Linked DNA regions of Styela clava. The protein of the gene in region 1 purifies or fractionates together with the protein of each later gene. This does not show direct contact. Links are inferred from orthologs where the notes say so. Each region holds a gene or a part of one and is shown in the gene's direction. Other genes may lie near its edges.

Region 1 (7,432 bases):
GTCGGAGTCATTTCTTTTTTCAATTCGGATTCGAATGTAAATGGCCGTGAAGTGGAACGCCGCAACTATTTCACTGTTACGAAAGCACATGGGTTATTTCTTCGGATACTGTTCATCTCTACTAATCAATGATTTGTACTTCTTTTTCGTTCATGTTGCATGTATACCGGAACAACGTAACAATTTTTGTGCGCAGCCATTTTGCGAAAATAAAATCACCAGTTCAGCTTATAATGCAATGCTGCAAAATTCTTGTTTTGTCTCACCTGAAATGAAAGTAAATCGAATTGTAAATTATCTGTGACTATTTAAATTTTAAATATAATTTAACCATGAAAAAGCGAAGACATTATCCAGTATATAAACATATTATTTCAACGCAATCAAACATAATGGAGAGATTGTTCCTATACATGTGGGGTTGCAAGTAACCAAGCTGATAAAAAGAACAGTGATTAGAGTTTCTCCCGGACAAACATAAAAGCTCATGGATTTGCGTAGAATTTCTCTTATAGACTACTTTCAGCTAATATATACTATGTAGGTGAGTATCGGTGATGGGTCGATTTATACCATGGCATGCATGTCTCTCAATAACAACACTATTCTGATTTTGAGCCCCAAAGGCAAATCTTGGGTCAATTTAACGATTTTTCGAATTTCTAAGAAATTTACGTTATTGCGCTATATTAAAAGTATTTTGTTAGAAAACTGATCGAGTTTTTTTCCAATTTCTTTATTCCATTGGAAAGATGATGAATTCAAATATCCATACTCAAAATATTTTTTAAGCCCCAAAGGCAGATCTTGTTCAAATTTTGGGTCAATTTAACGATTTTTCGAATTTCTAAGAAATTTACGTTATTGCGCTATATTAAAAGCATTTTGTTAGAAAACTGATCGAATTTTTTTCCAAATCCTTTATTCCATTGGAAAGATGATGAATTCAAATATGCATACTCAAAATATTTTTTAAGCCCCAAAGGCAGATCTTGTTCAAATTTTGGGTCAATTTCACGATTTTTCGAATTTCTAAGAAATTTACGTTATTGCGTTATATTAAAAGTATTTTGCTAGAAAACTGATCGAGTTTTTTTCCAATTTCTTTATTCCATTGGAAAGATGATGAATTCAAATATCCATACTCAAAATATTTTTTAAGCCCCAAAGGCAGATCTTGTTCAAATTTTGGGTCAATTTAACGATTTTTCGAATTTCTAAAAAATTTACGTTATTGCGCTATATTAAAAGTATTTTGTTAGAAAACTGATCGAGTTTTTTTCCAATTTCTTTATTCCATTGGAAAGATGATGAATTCAAATATGCATACTCAAAATATTTTTTAAGCCCCAAAGGCAGATCTTGTTCAAATTTTGGGTCAATTTAACAATTTTTCGAATTTCTAAGAAATTTACGTTATTGCGCTATATTAAAAGTATTTTGTTAGAAAACTGATCGAGTTTTTTTCCAATTTCTTTATTCCATTGGAAAGATGATGAATTCAAATATCCATACTCAAAATATTTTTTAAGCCCCAAAGGCAGATCTCGTTCAAATTTTGGGTCAATTTAACGATTTTTCGAATTTCTAAGAAATTTACGTTATTGCGCTATATTAAAAGCATTTTGTTAGAAAACTGATCGAATTTTTTTTCAAATCCTTTATTCCATTGGAAAGATGATGAATTCAAATATGCATACTCAAAATATTTTTTAAGCCCCAAAGGCAGATCTTGTTCAAATTTTGGGTCAATTTCACGATTTTTCGAATTTCTAAGAAATTTACGGTATTGCGCTATATTAAAAGTATTTTGTTAGAAAACTGATCGAGTTTTTTTCCAATTTCTTTATTCCATTGGAAAGATGATGAATTCAAATATGCATACTCAAAATATTTTTTAAGCCCCAAAGGCAGATCTTGTTCAAATTTTGGGTCAATTTAACAATTTTTCGAATTTCTAAGAAATTTACGTTATTGCGCTATATTAAAAGTATTTTGTTAGAAAACTGATCGAGTTTTTTTCCAATTTCTTTATTCCATTGGAAAGATGATGAATTCAAATATCCATACTCAAAATATTTTTTAAGCCCCAAAGGCAGATCTCGTTCAAATTTTGGGTCAATTTAACGATTTTTCGAATTTCTAAGAAATTTACGTTATTGCGCTATATTAAAAGCATTTTGTTAGAAAACTGATCGAATTTTTTTTCAAATCCTTTATTCCATTGGAAAGATGATGAATTCAAATATGCATACTCAAAATATTTTTTAAGCCCCAAAGGCAGATCTTGTTCAAATTTTGGGTCAATTTCACGATTTTTCGAATTTCTAAGAAATTTACGGTATTGCGCTATATTAAAAGTATTTTGTTAGAAAACTGATCGAGTTTTTTTCCAATTTCTTTATTTCATTGAAAAGATGATGAATTCAAATATCCATACTCAAAATATTTTTTAAGCCCCAAAGGCAGATCTTGTTCAAATTTTGGGTCAATTTAACGATTTTTCGAATTTCTAAGAAATTTACGTTATTGCGCTATATTAAAAGTATTTTGTTAGAAAACTGATAGAGTTTTTTTCCAATTTCTTTATTCTATTGGAAAGATGATGAATTCAAATATCCATACTCAAAATATTTTTTAAGCCCCAAAGGCATTTCTTGTTCAAATTTGGGGTCAATTTAACGATTTTTCGAATTTCTAAGAAATTTACGTTATTTCGCTATATTGAAAGTATTTTGTTAGAAAACTGATGGAGTTTTTACCAATTTCTTTATTCTATTGGAAAGATGATGAATTCAAATATCCATACTCAAAATATTTTTTAAGCCCCAAAGGCAGATCTTGTTCAAATTTTGGGTCAATTTAACGATTTTTCGAATTTCTAAGAAATTTACGGTATTGCGCTATATTAAAAGTATTTTGTTAGAAAACTGATCGAGTTTTTTTCAATTTCTTTATTTCATTGGAAAGATGATGAATTCAAATATCCATACTCAAAATATTTTTTAAGCCCCAAAGGCATTTCTTGTTCAAATTTGGGGTCAATTTAACGATTTTTCGAATTTCTAAGAAATTTACGTTATTTCGCTATATTGAAAGTATTTTGTTAGAAAACTGATGGAGTTTTTTACCAATTTCTTTATTCTATTGGAAAGATGATGAATTCAAATATCCCTACTCAAAATATTTTTTGAGCCCCAAAGGCAGATCTTGTTCAAATTTTGGGTCAATTTAACGATTTTTCGAATTTCTAAGAAATTTACGGTATTGCGCTATATTAAAAGTATTTTGTTAGAAAACTGATCGAGTTTTTTTCAATTTCTTTATTTCATTGGAAAGATGATGAATTCAAATATCCATACTCAAAATATTTTTTAAGCCCCAAAGGCAGATCTTGTTCAAATTTTGGGTCAATTTAACGATTTTTCGAATTTCTCAGAAATTTACGTTATTGCGGTATTTTGATCGAGTTTTTTTCAATTTCTTTATGTCATTGGAAAGATGATGAATTCAGATATTCATACTCATAATATTTTTTGAGCCCCAAAGGCAGATCTTGTTCAAATTCTGGGTCAATTTAACGATATTTCGGATTTTAAAGAAATTGACGTTATTGCGTTGTATTAAAAGTATTTTGTTAGAGAACTGATCTTTTTTTTTCGAATTTCTTTATTAGATTGGAAAGATGTCTGAGCTATAAATCCATACCCAAAATTTTTTTAGAGTCCTAAAGGCAGATCTTGTTCATATTTTGGGTCAATTTAACGATTTTTCGAATTTTCAGGAAATTTACGTTGTTGCGTTGTATTGAAATTATTCTGTTAGAAAACTGATCAATTTTTTTGTCAAATTCTTTTTTTGATTGGAAAGATGTCTGAGTTGTAAATCCATACCCAAAATATTTTTTGAGACCCAAAGGCAGATCTTGTTCAAATTTAGTGTCAATTTAACAAACTTTTCATTTTTTCCTCAATAATACGTTATTTTATTTTGATAAATGTAGTTTTTTGTACTTCTCCCTTGATCCCAAATGCTTCGTGTGATTGAATGCTACATAATAACGTTCAATTTGCAATTCTACATCTCTGTGGTTAATAATTAAAAATATTTCGCAAAGTGGAAACACGTTTTTATGACATCGTATATTTTGCTGCGGGATTTTGCTAGCATTTTGCTTATATGACAGTGGCGATAGCACACGGTAGCTTTTGTATTTTCTGTTCCATATATAACAAAGGCCAGAATATGAAGAAAGAGGTTGATAATGAAGACGACGAATATGCGGATTTAAATAAGCCGCTTTCAGATGTGAAAGACAAATGGAAAATATTACCGGCATTTCTCAAAGTGAAAGGCTTGGTGAAGCAACACATCGATTCATTTAATTATTTTATTAACGTGGAGATCAAGAAAATAATGCAGGTTGGTGAAATCTATTATTGATTTTCTACGCGGCGGTGTGGCTCAACGGGCTAAGCGTTAGGAATACGCTCGCTACCGCACCTCTAATTACTCTGCGTGGGTTCGCAGGTTCGAATCCCATGCAGTGATGGTTATGTGCGAGAGGATTGTCCATGCCTCCGAAAACAAACAATATATATATATATATATAACTAATCCCATACCCGACTTGAAATGGTAACCGGACGAGAGGCCGTGGTTCGCCATATGGATAAGCCGTCTTATCGGCTTTCCTCTCCCCCTGGATAAATATGTAAATCCTATCCTATCCATTTCAGTTCAATCTTATTTAGAATATATTTGTTGAAACTTACGGTCTTATCTCCAGTTTAGGGTTAAATATATAAAGTTCTCATGTAAAAATGTTGAAATTATTTTTTTTTTCATTTCGCTGACTGGATGACTCATTGAGTCTTTCGCGACCCTGCGTCAATTGCTGTGAATCAATGTTTTCTATTTATTTTTAGTTCACTATGTTTTACTTTTGCTTTCAATTGATTCTTGCATGACGGGATAAAATATCTGAATCTATCTATTATTTTTATCATTCAACACAATTTAACAAAAACAAATAGGTTAAGTTTATTCGACTTTCTAAATGTTGCAATATTGATTTTGGCTCATTTAAGAATTGCTCATTTGTGAATGTTTTATTTTACAGGCAAATGACAAAGTGCTAAGTGATGCTGATCCAAATTGGTATTTAAAATATCTCGATATTCACGTTGGAAAACCTGACGTGGAAGAAAGTTTCAATGTCACTCGTCCTATTTCACCACACGAGTGCAGGCTTCGAGATCTTACCTACTCTGCTCCGATAACTGTTGATGTTGAATACACAAGAGGGCAGCAGAGAATTATTCGAAAACACCTCCCCATTGGAAGGATGCCAATCATGTTACAAAGTTCAAATTGTGTTTTAGCTGGAAAAAATCCTGTTGAGTTTGCAAAGCTAAATGAATGTCCGTATGATCCAGGCGGTTATTTTGTTTGCAAAGGGGTTGAAAAGGTAAATTAAAAATGAAATGATGGCTGAATATAATTGCTTCACAATTACTAGACTAAGGTTAGGCTACTTTACGAGATAAAGGTGTATCGAGTGAAGTAAAAACTCTGATTAAAATAAAACAAACCTGGTTATATATTGAGAACTGACTTCATAAAAAAATATTGAAATTGCAATATGGCTTCATGAATAGGCTACCTGGCATTATAGCCTATTTATATATGCAATGTATAAAATTAGGAAGCGGTAAATTTCATAATAAAATTTTGAATTTTAGGTCATATTGATTCAAGAACAACTGTCCAAAAACCGAATGATTTGTGAGAAAGATCGAAAGGGTTTGGTGAGTTGTTCCGTGCACAGTTCCACTCACGAGAAAAAGACTCGAGCGACAATTTTGCAAAAGAAGGGAAAATTTTATTTACAACAGAATGCACTGACAGAAGACACTCCTGTTTGTATTATTTTTAAAGCAATGGGTGTTGAAAGTGACCAAGCTATAATGCAACTCATAGGTAAGGCACTAGGTCCAAAATTTTACTGTGGAGTCACGAATGAGTCGGAATGGTCGACATTATATTTTCAAACTTTGTAAATGTGTAACGAAAAAGTATGAACTGAAACATTCCAAGATCTTTATCCACCAATTCTCACAAAAATTTTATTAAGACTTTAGTTGCAGAAATGCTTGTTAATTGAGCTTTTTACATATTTTTACAAATCTTGAAAAATATGCTGATTTCAATTAATTCATGGATGTTAAACTATGGACTATGCATATTGCGCAATTACTTGATTGAATAATCCCATATGCAACCTGGACTGGTAATCGAAGGAAAGTCTTTGCTTCGCCTTGCGACTAATTCATCTCAATCTGAGCCCTTTTCTCTCCTGGTTAAATATTAAAATCATATATTCTTGGACACGAAGTGTATGTGTATATTGTTTCGTTATTATGTTGTTGTTGTTCCTGTTGGTATTTTTTTTCATATAATTATGAAAAAATTGCTTTTCTCAATAATTGCTTTGAATTTTTCAGTGGTTCAAGATTGTATTTTTTGGTAGAAGGTTATTACTTTTCTTATTTTAAAAATTTCTGTGGGCTCTATGGGATTTGTTTTTCGTGTGCGATGACGTCATCAAAAATTGTGCACTTTGTTGCGGTTTTGGGTTCTCAATAGTCGTGAAGACTGTGGTATTGACCTGTACTACTTCGTTCTTGCCTTTGTGTCCATGTTTTTCAGCATCACTTTTTTGTACTTATATAAGTAAATATAATCAGAGTTGGGTACTCCTGAAGTATGTGCACCAAGATGTTGCATAACCTGAACCCTAACCTGGTACACAACCTGATTTCAGGTTGTGTGCCACCTTGGTGCATATACTTCAAGAGGTCCCATAGTTGTTGTTTACATTACCTTTATCCCAGGGACCGATGAGTCCATCATGTCTCTATTTGCATCCTCCATCGAAGAATGTCACAGACTCGAAGTTTTTACTCAACTTCAAGCGACTCGTTATATTGGTCAAAAAATCCGTAGAAATCGTGGCATGTGGGGAGCACCGAGACGATCACGAAACGATGAAGCAAGAGACTGGCTGGCAACAACTTTACTTGCTCATGTGCCTGTTATTGATTGGAATTATCATTGCAAGGTTAGACATGTTTCATATTGGTTTAGTTTTGTAAAGTTGTATCTGTTTTTTACTTGTGATGTTGCAAAAAAGATAAGTTTAAAAGATCTCATTTTTAATATTTTATTTCATGAATATTAACAGGGCTGGGCGAGAAAATTCACAATCAACATTCAAATTTGGATCGAAAAGTGAAAAAAAAACTTTTGTTTAAGCTTCCGAATCCAGATTGATAAATATGTAGACCCTCGTCCTGAATTTGTGTAGAAATCAAATTTTGCTAATAAAAACTTAACATATATGCAAACTTTCTTTTTTAGGCTGTTAGAA
Region 2 (7,527 bases), about 4.7 Mb from region 1:
GAATTCTGGAGCAAAATCGTTTCAAGCAACTGGGCAAAATCAACAACAACAGAGTGCATTTGGATTCAGTAGTCCATCTGCTGGGGTTGGAGCACAAGGATTTGGCGGTTTTAATAAACCTCAGCAATCAGGTTTTTATTTTTAGATTGTTTTAGCAGAATCGAAAAAAATCAATGACATTTACAGAGATGTCATGACAATTTATTTTTTTTTTTTTTTCATTCTGCTTATAAGTTGAAACGGTCCAATTGGAAAAACAATAGGACTACATAGACTTGTATATAATATTGCATTGTTGTTTGGAGACTAAGATCTGATTCTTGAAGACTAATTAGATAATGAAGTAATCAGGGGCGCAGCCAGGATTTTTCCCACTGGGGGTTACGGTGAAATTAAAACATTACACCAAAAGTGCTATTCACGAAGACGTACTAATGCGTTTAATAAACTAAAATGCATGGTCGTTCACAGCGATATTCCACAGCTACGTGTAGCCCGCCTCTCTTTGCCTGACGGCGTTTGGTGAATATTTTGCAAGTCCTATTTCAAACATCGACCATTAATCCGTAGTCACCGGGTACCAGCATTTAGAAATAAAACAATAAAAATCGCGAAAATTAATTTTAGAGAGAACTATAACTTGCTGATGTCAGTAGCGTGATGATGGTTTATACGTACAAAAAACACGCTCGCATGTAGCGCCGAGCAAATGCATGAAATGTGAAACTATTACTTGGAATTTATTGTTAATCGAGTTGATTTTTTATTATCATTCAATGATTATTAACATGCGCCGTGATTAGTGGCGGGTAAAATCGTATTTTTTAATAGAGTTATTCGAATATTTTCAACGAACACCGAATAATAGGTATTGTTATTTTAAACATTAATTTGGATGTCGACTGCCGAAACAACCTCTGTGACAATAAATAAATTTTTTTTTCGGATTTTACTAGAAGACTGAAAACTCCGTAACAATGCAGGGCTTTTTATTTCATAGTTTTGTAATAATCGAAAGCTGCGAAGAATCAAATTTTTTGTCTCCACTATTGTTTCGGCGGCTGACATTCCAATTAATGTTGTTAAGTTATATTAAAGCACTTTTTTATTCAAGTATTAATTCTCATGCAACGGCGGATATCGTAGTTTGGTTTTTATATTTCGGACAGAATTGCGAGTTCACATCGGCGGAGATGTTAGAGACAAATATTAGGGAGTGCATTCACAACACAAATCAATTTTATTCTCATTTTTATCTTCTGTGTAGGAGTTGTATCACGGTCCCAATTTTAAACGAACAATATTATCATTACTGACCCCGGGAGGCGATATTTGTGAAGCGGATAGTTGACATTTTTATGCTTTTAATTTTAGATTGCGTTCGTGTTACTTTCGTATTGAATAATAACTAATAGCTCTGCAAATTGGTAATCTCTTGAATACTCAGTGTTGAGTATTTACGTAACTCAGCTTTGGGTTAAATCACTGATACTAAACACATGAATAAATCGGCAATAATGGAATTTCTACATGGTCAAAATGATATATATTTCTTCCCAATATCTCGAGAAATTTTCATAAAATACATTATTTACCTGTCCTACTTATCTGGTTCGACATTTCTAAATTCACAAAAACGGTGTTCACACGCTTTATGCAAAATTAGGAATTGAAAAATATGACGCAAAGAGGCAAGGAAAATTTTTTTTCACATTTATCGTTTCTACCAGTTAGCGATAGCCATCGGTAAATTCTTACCCGTAACTCGTTGTAAATTATTGTTAATAAATTCTATTTTGCTTTTTAATGCGCTGTGCTTTGTATTAAAATAAAAGTGATTTAGTTGGGAAGAGAAAGTCCTTAAATTAGCTTATGACCCTTCTCTTCTTTTAAGCGCCCATAACGGCGGTTAAATTGTTTCATGTCTGTTTCATGGAGAGAAGGGAAAATATGCCTTCCGGATTTGCAATCAACAATTACAAATTCCTAATTATTCTTATCAGCGCTAACTAAAAAAGATAACATGTCTTGTAGACGGAATAAGTCTGTAGATGTTAATTGCATTATGGTGATAACGCGCAGAATAATATCGCTTGGACCGCGAAACCATGACGAGCGATCGTAAAACTAAGCCTTTGCTTTTTTGTAGATGAAATTCACATCAAATTTTTTCTCAAACAGAGAGGGTTACACCCATGTAAAACCGCTGGCTGCGCCCCTGGAAATAATAATTATATACACATTTAGAAATCGATCAACTTTAAGGAATAAGTAGATCTATACAATATAGTTGACATGAAATTTTCTGAGATTAACACTGAATAGTTGAGGTAGCCAATGATGAGAAATTCTGACAGCTTGTCCTATTACTTTTATTCCATTGCTGCTGCTTGTTATATCCTGGATGCACTTAACATTATTGCTAATACTTTTAGGTTTTGGAGCTGCTCCTGCTTTTGGATCTTCTGCTACATTTGGTTCTCCTCCAGCTTTTGGTTCTACCTCTGGTGGAAGCACATTTGGAGGTGGATTCGGTTCACAGCCTGCTTCAACTGGTGGAGCTTTTGGACAAACTGCCAGTGGTGGTTTTTCATCGTAAGTAAAGGGCATTGAAGATGATTCTCTAGTCTCTACTACCAGTCAAATTTGTGAAGCACAGTTCTTATATGTGGCAGTGCTCAATACATATTATATTACAGATGATAAATGACACTTAATTCCCTTTTGGCCATACAGATCCATGAATGGCAAAAACTAAATAAACTATTATGACCAATTTTTCACCAGTCCATGAAGATAACTTCTACAATGGTTAATAACTTGTAAGCTAGTTTTGTCATATTGTGTTTTTTTTACAAATACTCAAACTCTTTTTTTAGCTTTGCCAGTAGTGAAACACCTGGTTTTGGTAATCTTGCGAATCAATCTGGAGGATTTGGAAGTCCACAGCAACAGCAGCCAAGTAGCTTTGGTGGGTTTGGATCGAACACACAGTAAGATGGATTTATAATTATGCAGTCTGTAAGGAATAAAATAATAAATAGAAACTCTATCAGTGCATTGCACACACATAAAAGTTTGCCATAAGTCTTGTTCCCCCAGTGTTTTTTTTTTTTGTAATCTATCGTGGACAAAAATTGCACAACTACAGTATGGAAAATGTTTAATGACCACTTGCAAAGGATACTTACGTTTCTAAAGAAATTTTTTTATTAAAATCAGTATTTGCTACCTAATAGTGATGTGTTTTTTCACAGCTTCACCTATAAATTTTTTTGTTTGAAATGGTTGATAACGACCATGCCATGACTGTAAAGAAGTCTTAAAGACAGTATTTGTGGGGCTGTGTATAAACAATCATGTTTCTTCATTTCAGAAAAAGCCCTTCTTTTAGTGGCTGGAGATAAATGATCTATGGAAAGGTGTACATTTTTGTCCTTGATGCTGAATCATGCCTTGTTAATAATGTCACTGGATCTAAAGTCGTTTTTCACAACGCATGCTACTATTGCTCCTGAACCTGATTGCTACTTTATGGATATGATGATAAAATAATGAAAAACAGTTAATTTATTAGTATAATGTTCATTTGTAAATGTGATAATTTGTTTCATTAAGAACAATAACTTAATATTGTTGGCTGAATTAAGATCCAAATAAATATCATCGGAAAATGACTGGAACGATGTGCAACTTAAAGTTAGTCATCCAGGAATAGTAACTCAACAAAACAAATTATGTACAAAAATTCACAATATAAATATAGTCTAACACTTAGACATATGAATAATTTTAGGAAAATGAGTATATTATAACTCTAGTCGTAATCTCAAGCAATACACGATTTGAATGTTGAAGTATGGTCAGCACTGGTCACATTTAGTTGGGTTGGCATATCGTCCTAATTGTTAGAATTATGCTACAGCACCCCAGATTACACTCCTTGGGTTCGAATCCTGTGGGGGATAATTATGTGCGAGAGGATTGCTGAACTCCTTACCGCCGAAGGGTGGTTCACGTAACCACTGATAGGCTATGGCTCCATTCACCATCAAGCCACTACATCTGAAACAAGTAACTGGCTAAATGATTCTATACCGACATGGACGAGAGGCTGTATCACACCATATGTTTAAGTCGTGTTATCTTCTCTACTCGGCGTGAATGTGTAAATCTTATATTTGGTGCTGTGTGGCATAACTTAAGAATTTTCATGAAATGTTTTTTGATTTGACGGGCAGTAAGGTCTCAACCCCCAGTGGAATGACTGGTATCGGAGTTTAAATACAAATTACCACCAGATGTATTATATTGTGTGGACACTATTTGTCTGATGAGACACAAGAATTGATAGACATTTTATTAGGTCTTCAATGCTTATAATTGTTACATCGCGAGACACTTGTATGTATTTGAAATGAGCATTGATGAGATTACAAATCCGGCTTGATGATTGGCTTATTAACTTGGGTGTTATGAACACTATTGCGCCCGCTTGTGTAATAGTCTCGTCCCCAATGAGGAAATAAGTATTTGGGGCAGCTCAATTATATGGAGATTGGATAATCACTGCCTCTCTGTTGCTATTTAACTTGTTCTTGCTACTTCGAGGAGTCCTCTTATCTTCTTGAACAAATTATGAATAAAGGTTGTGAAACCCCTCTAAAACAGCTTATGACTGAAATCGTCATGGCGGTAGGACCCGCTTTTCATTAATTCTATCAACTATACTTTGTTGCACGATAGTATATTTTATTTATCTGTGCTTTCATGTATTTACAATAATTAGTTTTTACTTATTACCTAATACTACTACACTGGGCTATACACGCTATAAGAGTCCCTGACCTGAACTGGTAACCGGACGAGAGGCCGTGGTTCGCCATATGATTAAGCCGTCTTATCGGCTTTCCTCTCCCCCGGAATAAACATGTAAATCCTATCCTCTTCCGGAATATATGCGATTCTAATTTTAACAGATGGGAACCGATATATCCGTGTAGGAAAATTTTTCAATAAATTGTTTGGTACTCGCGTGCGTTTATGTCGGGCCTGGCTGTTCTGCATTTCTGGGTTTCTGTGTATCGTCTTGCGTTTTAGTTCGTGTGGTCGTTTCGAAATGGCTGGAGTGCTATTCGAAGATATTTTTGATGTGAAAGATGTTGACCCCGAGGGAAAAAAATTTGATCGTGTTTCTCGACTTCACTGTGACAGTGAATCTTTCAAAATGGACTTGATTTTGGATGTAAACACACAGGTGGGTCTTGATTTACAGTAAGGAATGCCTGGATGCAGGACTGTGGCTGAAATAACTAAAATCGGCTTGTGTCTGTAGCAGTCTAGTCATAGCAGCTCTTTTAAACAGCATTCGTAGCTAATTTGCTTTTTCGCTATGAAATTATTAAATACATTAATATGGTCTGGTACGGTACCGTATAGTTTAGTACCACATGCACTTCTAGTTGGCCTGGCTTAACAATTTTTGCATATGTCGATCCTAACCCTCACCTGACTACGTCACAGTGGCGTAATAAGGCCCACCAAAGTATGCGGATGGTCGCCCAAAACGCGCAGACAATCACCCGAAATCGAGCAAGCTATTTCTCTCGTTTTCTTGTCACAACGATCACGATAGGAGAGAGATCGTACTTTAGCGAGTTCGTTATCGGATTTTTCAACTTATGATACTTCAAGGCGAGAGGCCAAAAACATTTGGGCGAGTTCGAGTCGTTAATTTTCAGAGTGCTCGAGTAAATTATTGACTCATTTATTTCCAACACTCGACTTAAAAAAATTTCGAACTACACAAAAATGCATGTCTGTAATCTCAGAATCTTCACAAGATTTAAATGTTCAGGTTTATCCAATGGAACTTGGAGATAAGTTTCGACTTGTTCTTGCAACAACTTTACATGAAGATGGGGCACCAGATGATGGAGAATTCAACCCATTGTGGGATCAGCAACCCACCCGTGCAGATCAGTTTGAATATGTCATGTATGGAAAGGTAAACTTTCTTAATTATTTTTCAGGTTCCCATGCGGGTAAATGATACTTATATTGTTGTGTAGTACTGTTAACAATGATGATTAGTGGATCATTTGTTTTTGTTGTGACATATGTAGAACATCATTCTATTGGAAAAATATGAATCACCATGCAAGCACTGCTGGTGGTTGGATATTCAATTAGCGTTTGTACACGTACACATATAATAGTATTTTAGCTATAGACGCCGTAAACTCAACCATCACTTTGTGTTTCACAAAATTACCTACCAATCCTTTGTGTTTGTAGAATGCAAGGGTGCTGTAGCAAAATTAAAAGATGACTATTCTATTTGATTCAAGAGTTTTGCTGCACACTACACATAGGATTAGTGTTAGTGTGCAGCAAGACTCTTCGAATCAGACAGCTGTGTTTAGTTGGGAATTTATGCTGCTTACTGATTAAATTGATTCAGTAAATTCAACGATATTTCATCCTTAAAAATAATGTTATGAAGATTAGTTTCTAATCAAACATGGTATTATTCATATGTGTTTTTAATTCTTTAATATATATTAAATCCCAATAAATTTTTAGGCATACAGGATAGAGGGGGATGACACTGGCAGCGAAGTTGCATCCAGACTTTCGGCTTATGTGTCATTCGGTGGCCTTCTTATGAGACTGCAAGGAGATGCAAACAATTTACACGGCATGACTGTTGATCAGAATGTTTATTTATTAATAAAGAAATTGGCATTCTGATCAAGACTGTAGCGAGCGATTCGTTGGTAATTCAAGGACAAAGAACTATCATCTTGACTGGCGATACATAGTTACAACAGTCAGGACTGATGAAGCTGCTTTGTTTTCTCAAGATGTAACATCAAGAACAAATCGATCAGTTTTGTGTAAAGGTTACTAAACAGCAGCTCCCCTATTTCCAAGTGGAGAAAAAAACTTGCGACGGTTTAACTATCTCAATTTTATTCTGAAGCAAAGTAGGAAATAATAATATTTAACTTCTGGCTTTGGGTATTGCGTTTGCACAGCAGCACATACATAATACTATAGGCAGTACTCGCAGCTTGGTCTCATCATCCTGATACTTTCTTGGCCTCCTAATGTTTCTAGCCAATGAGCAATTCGTCAACAGTAAAAAATCAGCATGCTTTCTTCTCTCTGCCATCAGCCACATAGACATCTTTATGAATTGTGCGATTAGCTCTGTTGCTCAAATAGGAATTCCAGAACAATGCGACTATTTGGCAGAAGAGCATTCTGAACAAATAATTAATATATCATTATTCATTATGCTCAATTCCCTTATTTTGCTACAAATTTTATATGCTTAATTTACTGGAGCGGCTATGAACTGTCGCACAGCCGCTCCAGTAAATTAACTCTGCCAGAAATCTTAAACGCTGCAGCTTTCAAAAAATATTCATTACTGAGTACTGACTAAACCCACCTGTATTGAAAAGGCACGATTCCAAAATTGATCGTTTGTGATGGAATCCAAACCTAAATTTAAGTAAA
Region 3 (8,019 bases), on another chromosome or scaffold:
TTAAACTCGCTAATGTTACGACATAAATCATCCAAAATCAATAGGCTCCTGGTACGACATATGATGATGCACATGCAAAATCTGGAGCAGATTCAATCTCGCTTTCGTGGGATATCGCGTGCGTCTAACAGACAGACAGACAAACACACAGACAAATACCTACCAACATACTTACCGATTAAAATTGATAAGTAACAAAGCAGAGCATATTCATCCTCATATAAAACTTCACTAAATTTGCCAATAACAATAGCGTAGCATACCGACGGCAAGACTCGCATTCACATTCAAATAAGAAAGGAATACTTAAATAAATGAAATGAGTGCGGTTAATCTAATCTTTTGCAGTAGTCTACTGGTTTTTTTGGACACGTAGTGAACATAGCGATCGTTTCAATATTATGTTGTTGTTGTTCTAGTGTCCTTGTTCTTTGACACGTTTTGAAGAAATCGCTTTTCTCTTCGAATACTGGACCAATTGTTTTGAAATTTTCAGTGGTTGAAGATAAAATTTTTCTCCAGAAGGCTATTACTTTTTTTTCGCTATGACGTCATCAAAATTATTCCCACTGGGTGGCGCTACCTGCCCATATATTTGAGCATAGCTCTATTGTCTTTTTATGATCCGACAAAACAACAGTATTGAAATATAGTATACCAACCTTATTGCATTTTTTAAATATTATCATGATATAAATTCGAATGATTCAATAAAAAATAACATAATTTTATCATTATTTTTCAGAATACATGAATGAAGTGCATCTTAGAATACTATATGCTTTCTTGTCTTACGTTAGATAATTTATTATGGTTTATGATATTTTATGAGAATTATTTCCATGAACATTAAAAAAGATTTACCGTAATTTGCTTTGTCAAATCTTATTTATGGTCAAATAGATTTGTGTAGTTAATGTTTCTGCTTTGTCATCTAATGAATTTCTTCAAAAGTTATCAAATAGTGATATTTTGCGTATTGAATGAAGGTAACTATATGATGTGATCAATGCAGCTCTTGCAAAAATAAAATAAAAAAAAGTGCCCATCTCGGGTTTAGGTTGACTTCTAATCCCAACAACAATAACAAATTAGGCAAGCTTTTTCAGTCACAACGTTTCCATTGATATTTCTGAATTTGTGCGCGAACTCCGAGAACAGTCTTGCACATACAACATGGGCTACCCTGGCCGCCGACTCCCAGCACCCGATTCTGCAAAAAGATAAATCTTGAAAACAAGACTGTCACTAATGTAACACGATGTCATATAAAGCGCGGATGTCATGAGATCACAGAGAATGATAATGCTTTTTTTCTGGTTGACGAATAATAACTTTCTATCTCTGATACCACAAATGCTTGATTTGCTTCTCGAAACTGTCGTCCCTTCTTCACAAAAGTTGAAATACCGTATTCCTATTCTAGTACGATTAGAATTATTTCGGTACTGGCAAATAAATTAGAGCCAATTTGCCAAGAATACTGTGGTATCTGGGTATGGGCCTGAAAACAAAATAGCCAGATACCGTACGGAAAATGAGATAACAATACCTGGATATGGTGAACGTACATTTGAACCCACACATTTGCACCCGTATATCCGTGGGTTCAATCTATATGACGGTGCTAAAATCTATGGGTTAGGGTTAGTATGGGTTCAAATATCCGTAAAAAAAAAATTCCATAAGTGCAATTGTCGTGGGTTAAAATGTAATGGAACCCCTGAATATGATTATTACTCTGTCAGTAACTTACGGTACTGTGTCAGTTCACAGTCTGTGACATAAATACCGCATTTAAACGAAGGTAGCTTGATTTTAGAGTGCTAAGCTAACCACAAATAACTTGAAAATACGCGTAGTTTGTCGCAACAAACAAACGTTCGGCTTAAATATTTGGTCGCAAAGGGAAAGCTGAGAAGTCCATACCTCGTTACTCATGTGGAACCTATGACGTCACACAGAGTGGCATCTTTATGTTGACCCTCAATAATGAGATCGCCCAGATATTAATTGGTTTATTGGACCAGATATCGCCCAGATATTAATTGGTTTATTGGACCAGGGTTGCCATATGAAATACAATATTTAGTGTGTAACAACTGAACAATAGCCTATTACCTGTACTTAGCTACTTAACATTAGGATTTCCTGGAGCATCGATTTCCTTGTTTGTTACATTAACTCTTAACCATACCCAATAAGAAATAAGTGCAGTTTCTGCAGCTGCTCAGACAGATGTTCAAGCAGGGTTGTAAACATTGCCTCGTTTTTATAGTTTTGCGTGTTATTTGTCAGTTTACGTTCTGTTACCAAAATATAGTTGTATAACTCAATTTTCATTATGCCTGATATGGTTTATGTGAGCTTTCAGATTTAGTTTAATATTGCAATTGCAGTAACGATGTGATTAACTACGCTAAAATTACTGAATTAGATATCAGTGGTCCACCTGTGAGCGGCAGGGGGTTAGATAATTTTTTAATAAAATTGATGGTTTATAAATTTTAAAAGTGAAAAATTTTTCAATAGTAAAGTACGATATAGGGAGAATTTTTCGAGATGTGGCACAAGTTTAAGTAGAAACATATTGTAGGTATATTACATACTGACAGACTGAAGCTTGAAGCTGCACCCTGTATTGTATATATTGAATGGTAAAATAATGCTGCCCGCTTGATATTTATTTTACCTTCTACAGTTCTATAGGATCTTTACTTTCTATTTGTGTGCCTCACTGAATAAACTGGTGGCTCTACATCATCATCAGTACGTTGCCAAGGGCTTAAAATCTGACAAACCATGGGGCTTTTGTACTTAGTAAAATTGTTGTCTTTTTTATGTCTTGATTTGGCTTTTTTGATCGCTGGGGTCTGGCAATCCTGTATTGGACACGTCAGTGGACATAACGATCGTTTCAATATTATGCTGTTGTTCTTGATATTCGTCATGATTTTCATTAAGAAAATGCTTTTCTCTTCGATTACGAAATCAATTGCTTCGAAATTTTCAGTTTTATAGATTGATTTTTTTGCCATGAGGCTATTACAACGTTATAAATTTTGTATGAAATCTGATATTTCGTCCAAAATTCCGCTGTATTATTTCATCCATGGAAACACTGGCTGTCCGGTTTTATTCTGTAAATTTTTGCTACGCGAAACTAGGAACTTTTTTGAGGGTAGCGTCAAAGGTGAGGTTGCTTCGCTCTGGTTATCGTGTTTATATAGCCTATTTGCTCGTGTTCATAAATTCGAGAGCGTTGCTCTCTTGTTTATTATACAAACGAATGTTCCTGATCGGAATTTAATTCTTTATACAGTACGGCACACTATCCCGAATCCGGATTTGCGTCTACATTCCGGAAGAGCCAAAATATGAATAGGCGTCTGTGAAACCGGGGGCGTCGAGTCGTCTGCGAGCTCGATGCGTGAGAACGTCAGATGTCTGGATATGACGTCAAAGAAAGTCACGCACAGATCGGCAGTTCGGCACGGCTCTCGAATTTTGCTAATTTGATTTTCGTTTTTTACCGATGTATACTGACCTATATGGTTAGATATACGATGTATTTCTGAATCATTATATTCAGTCTACTGTTGGTAGTGCCTAATTAAAATAATGTCGCGTAAATGCAAACGTCTGTGAATAAAATAATGCGTTTCGATTAATACGTCTACGAGTCCAACTAATTTTATTATAAGTGTTTGTGACTACATGACATCGTTTGAATTGTCGTATAACGAAGTCAAAACGATGCACGATATCGAAGTTTTTTTTTTTCAATAGTTAAATTAATATCGATAGTGAAACTTTGTATGCCCGTTAATACCTGTAATCACAACAATTTAACATAGCATCTTCGTTTATTTAGAACTGAAACTTCCAGAACGCACAACGATTACGAATTACGATATCATTTAATAATTATATTCGAGATTTTTATTTAAATTTGAGCGTCAACAATCTATAGTAAAATAAAAGCCTCGATGATTAATTGGATTAAACTATTTTGCCAATTTGATTCTTGTTTTTCACAGACTACGCAAGTTGATCATTTGCGGCATACGAATGCATCAATGCGGCATTATATTAATTTGATTCTTGTTTTTCACCTATCTATTCTTGCATAAATCACGCAAATTAACATTTGCGGTATATGATTGCCTCGACGTGGCATTGAATTAAAATATTCTCGTATTCCGTATACTTCGAAGTTAAACATTCGCGACATATGAATGTATCGATGCCGCATTATATTAGTTTGAATCTTGTTTTTCATCAATCTATACTAGTATAAATTACGCAAATTGAACATTTGCGGCATATGAATACATCGATGCGGCATGATATTACATTATTTTGCTAATTTGATTCTTGTTTCTTGCCGATCTATTATTGTGTAAATTACGCAAGTTGATCATTTGCGGCATATGAATTAAATTATTTTCGTATAGATTAACATTTGTGGCATATGAATGCCTCGATGTGGCATTGAATTAAATTATTCTCGTATACCGGTACCGTAACTTTCGAAGTTAAACATTTGCGGCATATGAATGTATCGATGGTACATTATATTATTTTGAATCTTATTTTTTACCGATCTATACTAGTATAAATTACGCAAGTTGATCATTTGCGGCATATGAATTAAATTATTTTCGTATAGATTAACATTTGTGGCATATGAATGCCTCGATGTGGCATTGAATTAAATTATTCTCGTATACTGTAACTTTCGAAGTTAAACATTCGCGACATATGAATGTATCGATGGGACATTATATTATTTTGAATCTTGTTTTTTACCCACCTATATTAGTATAAATTATGCAAACTGAACATTTGCGGCATATGAATACATCGATGTGGCATTATATTAAGTTATTTTGCTAATTTGATTCTCGTTTTTCGCCGATTACGCAAGTTGCACATTTTGCGGCATGTGAATGTCTCGTTGCGGCATTAGATTAAATTATTGCTTTATGAACTAATTCATCTAATGCTATATCGAGGCATTAATTTTACTGTTTATCGATTGTGTGTTATCAAAATGTAATTTTTATTATCGCTGATCCATTTATTATCGTTAACACGCCATCCTATCTACATTGAAAATGAGAGAAACACGGCACGCCAAGGTTTACGTCGAGGAACGGCCGATGCGTGCCTGCGTGCGTCGATTGAAATTCAGTGACGTCACACGCCGTCAATCGTTTTTTGCTCATTTCTCTCGAACGCACCGGTAAAATTTTTTTTACATCGGTAGATCTGATTATTTTTTCACGAGGAATTCAATGGTGATGGTTTTAGATTGCGCTTTTTGTTAGTTTACTGCGCAGCTTCAATTTATCGATATCGGGAGACAAAATCCGCCAGACGTCCATCGAAGGAGGGATATTCGATCACCGTTAAAATAGGTTTCTCTAAAACGAGAGATTGTCTCTCGATCTGTAAAGTGTGTAAATTATTTATTTCAGAACCCTACTTCCGAAAACAGGACAGGAAAGCATGTATTTAACAGTACGGTACCGGTACCGGTAGTCTATTGTTTGCCGAATTACAGCCCAACTTAGATTTTGTTTAATTTATTATACGTTCCCCAGATAGGAATTATTTTAAATTTGGATATTTTTTGCATTTCAACACTAGAATTCTGCCCTGGAAAAATAATAGAGGAAGTACCGGTATGTTTTAAGTTTGTGTAAACAACGACGAATCTGGTACAGTACCGGTACCTGTAGGCTTCTAATCATGCGTGGTTATGGCGTTGGCTTTGTGGTGTAATTGAAGGTAGCCATGTCAGCTTTGGAGTTCGACATATTGCTGATTGGATGTAGAATAAGCAGCGTATGATAGATTAGTTAGACTATGTATGATGTTATTTAAATCTGTACCAGTAGATCCTAAACAGGAAATAAAAATGTACCTACGGTACTGTACCGGTACGGTACCTTGTACCGGTACCTAGCTGTTACCGGACGAGAGGCCGTGGTTCGCCATATGGTTAAGCTGTCTTATTGACTTTCCTCTCCCCCTGGATAAATATGTAGGCTAAATCCTATCCTAAAGGTTTAGAAATGGCTTCGGGTGGGAGTTCTACGTCTTCAAGTGAAAAGAATGCCGCAAAAGCTACGACAGTAATTGTATTGGGAATGGCGGGTTCTGGAAAAACAACTTTTGTTCAGGTTAGTAGTTACGGTACTTTACCGGTAGCGTACAGTAGTACCGTAACTCGTTGGTGATACGGCTGGTCAGTTACCGGGACGGCTTTCTCCACCATCAAGTTGCAAGTCCACGCATCTCAAAACAAATTTTCCGCCAACTGATGCCATATCTAACATGGACTACTGGACGATCTGACCATAGACGGTGGTTCACTATACACAGATACAGCCATATGATTAAGCTGCCTTCACTCCCTCACACAGGGTGATCAGAGGTGCGGTGACAAGCATATTACCAACGCTTACTGGCTTAGCATGATGCGCCGCACTGCCACTGCGCTAAGTAACTATAATAACTTATAAACGTCAACCATGGGGTTTCCACATTTACTGATTTAGGGCAATTCGCATCACTTTCTATAAGTTGTGAGTTATTCTTTTTTGAACATTTGATGCAATTCAGGTGTTATGGAGCACTTCCTTATGAGGGAGCCATTTTTCATGAAAGTATATCAAAATCATGCCATATCGTGTTTAAATTTATTTATTTTGTTTCAGAGATTGACTGCTCATTTACATGCAATAAAAAGTCCACCATATGTTGTGAATCTTGATCCTGCTGTTCACTCAGTTCCTTTTCCAACAAACATTGATATACGAGATACTGTTAAATATAAAGAAGTGATGAAACAATATGGGCTTGGACCAAATGGTGGTATAATGACTGCTTTGAATCTATTCACAACTAAATTCGATCAGGTGATTGCAATTTATCTTACATTCAATGTGAAAGTAGCAAACTGGAAATTTCTCGTTTTTCCGTGGAACTCCTACATCTTAGTAGATTCTTGCATAAAAAATGGATAGGTGAATAGGATATAAAGTTCAACGACTTTAGAGACATATACTCAATTGATGTGAGCTTTCCTCATTTTGACATCCATAAACTTTCAGGTCATGACATTCATTGAAAAACGAGCCTCTGAATGTGAATATGTTATATTTGATACACCTGGTCAGATTGAAGTCTTCACATGGTCAGCATCTGGTGCAATCATAACTGAAACATTGGTATGTTAGTATATTTCTATTCTATTTTTCATTTCAAAATCATTATCCTTTTTTCGACAACAAACACTAATTTAGTGTCTCTGCAATATATTCATTTTTTAGGCTTCAACTTTTCCTACAGTTGTTGTTTATGTGATGGACACTGCACGAAGTACAAATCCAGTTACTTTTATGTCTAATATGTTATATGCCTGTAGTATATTATATAAAACAAAACTGCCATTCATTGTTGTGATGAACAAGGTGAGCTTCTTTTTATCAGAGCATAAAATTATTTCTTTACTTCGACTTGTTATTGTAGCCTCTAGGCTCGATCTTGTCAACATAGCACTCTGTACTATGGATATTCCATAAATGGTATTTTTGAATCTGATTCATCTTCTGATCCTCTTGAAATAGGCTTAGAGAAAGTGAGTGTACTAGCGAATTGCATAGATATATATTTCTAAATTCTAAAACTGTGACATCAACTTATCACTTTTTTGAAGACTTAGGCATAATTCAACATGGTTTATCCAATTTTATCTACTCTCGTAGTGTGTGTAGGCTTAGGGTTAGGCCATAATTTTATTCTGGTTCTCCTTATTTTAGTTCTATTACGAGTTTGGGGACTGTCCGGGTTAGCCAAGTAAATATACTATACCCACAGGTTTCAGTTCTTTTTCACAACTTGATGTAAAATAGGCAAACAAAATTAGTGAACCTTCATATGGGTACACACACTTCTGGGCGCCCACTTGAGCTCTGTTAAATTTTATTTACCCTGAGTGGGGCTATG

What was found.
Region 2: the proteins of DNA-directed RNA polymerase III subunit RPC2-like (region 1) and DNA-directed RNA polymerases I, II, and III subunit RPABC3-like purify together in Homo sapiens (affinity purification with mass spectrometry; 5 studies listed by BioGRID and IntAct, with this or other methods). This does not show direct contact. The link is inferred for Styela clava from reciprocal best matches to the Homo sapiens genes POLR3B and POLR2H.
Region 3: the proteins of DNA-directed RNA polymerase III subunit RPC2-like (region 1) and GPN-loop GTPase 1-like purify together in Homo sapiens (affinity purification with mass spectrometry; 4 studies listed by BioGRID and IntAct, with this or other methods). This does not show direct contact. The link is inferred for Styela clava from reciprocal best matches to the Homo sapiens genes POLR3B and GPN1.

The regions. Positions count from the first base shown.
Region 1 is NC_135255.1:15,753,951-15,761,382, forward strand, and holds the start of DNA-directed RNA polymerase III subunit RPC2-like, read left to right. Parts: upstream 1-4,190; 5' UTR 4,191-4,245; coding exon 4,246-4,422; intron 4,423-5,122; coding exon 5,123-5,470; intron 5,471-5,744; coding exon 5,745-5,982; intron 5,983-6,896; coding exon 6,897-7,123; intron 7,124-7,432. UniProt on the Homo sapiens protein: Catalytic core component of RNA polymerase III (Pol III), a DNA-dependent RNA polymerase which synthesizes small non-coding RNAs using the four ribonucleoside triphosphates as substrates.
Region 2 is NC_135255.1:11,092,648-11,100,174, forward strand, and holds DNA-directed RNA polymerases I, II, and III subunit RPABC3-like, read left to right. Parts: upstream 1-5,016; 5' UTR 5,017-5,119; coding exon 5,120-5,257; intron 5,258-5,857; coding exon 5,858-6,007; intron 6,008-6,585; coding exon 6,586-6,753; 3' UTR 6,754-7,017; downstream 7,018-7,527. Other genes in the region: nuclear pore complex protein Nup214-like, read left to right, coding at 1-131, 2,436-2,595, 2,880-2,993, 3,377-3,407; mitochondrial inner membrane protein Mpv17-like, read right to left, coding at 7,152-7,269, 7,460-7,512. UniProt on the Homo sapiens protein: DNA-dependent RNA polymerase catalyzes the transcription of DNA into RNA using the four ribonucleoside triphosphates as substrates.
Region 3 is NC_135251.1:19,540,221-19,548,239, reverse strand, and holds the start of GPN-loop GTPase 1-like, read left to right. Parts: upstream 1-5,009; 5' UTR 5,010-6,083; coding exon 6,084-6,191; intron 6,192-6,728; coding exon 6,729-6,929; intron 6,930-7,124; coding exon 7,125-7,241; intron 7,242-7,343; coding exon 7,344-7,484; intron 7,485-8,019. UniProt on the Homo sapiens protein: Small GTPase required for proper nuclear import of RNA polymerase II (RNAPII). May act at an RNAP assembly step prior to nuclear import.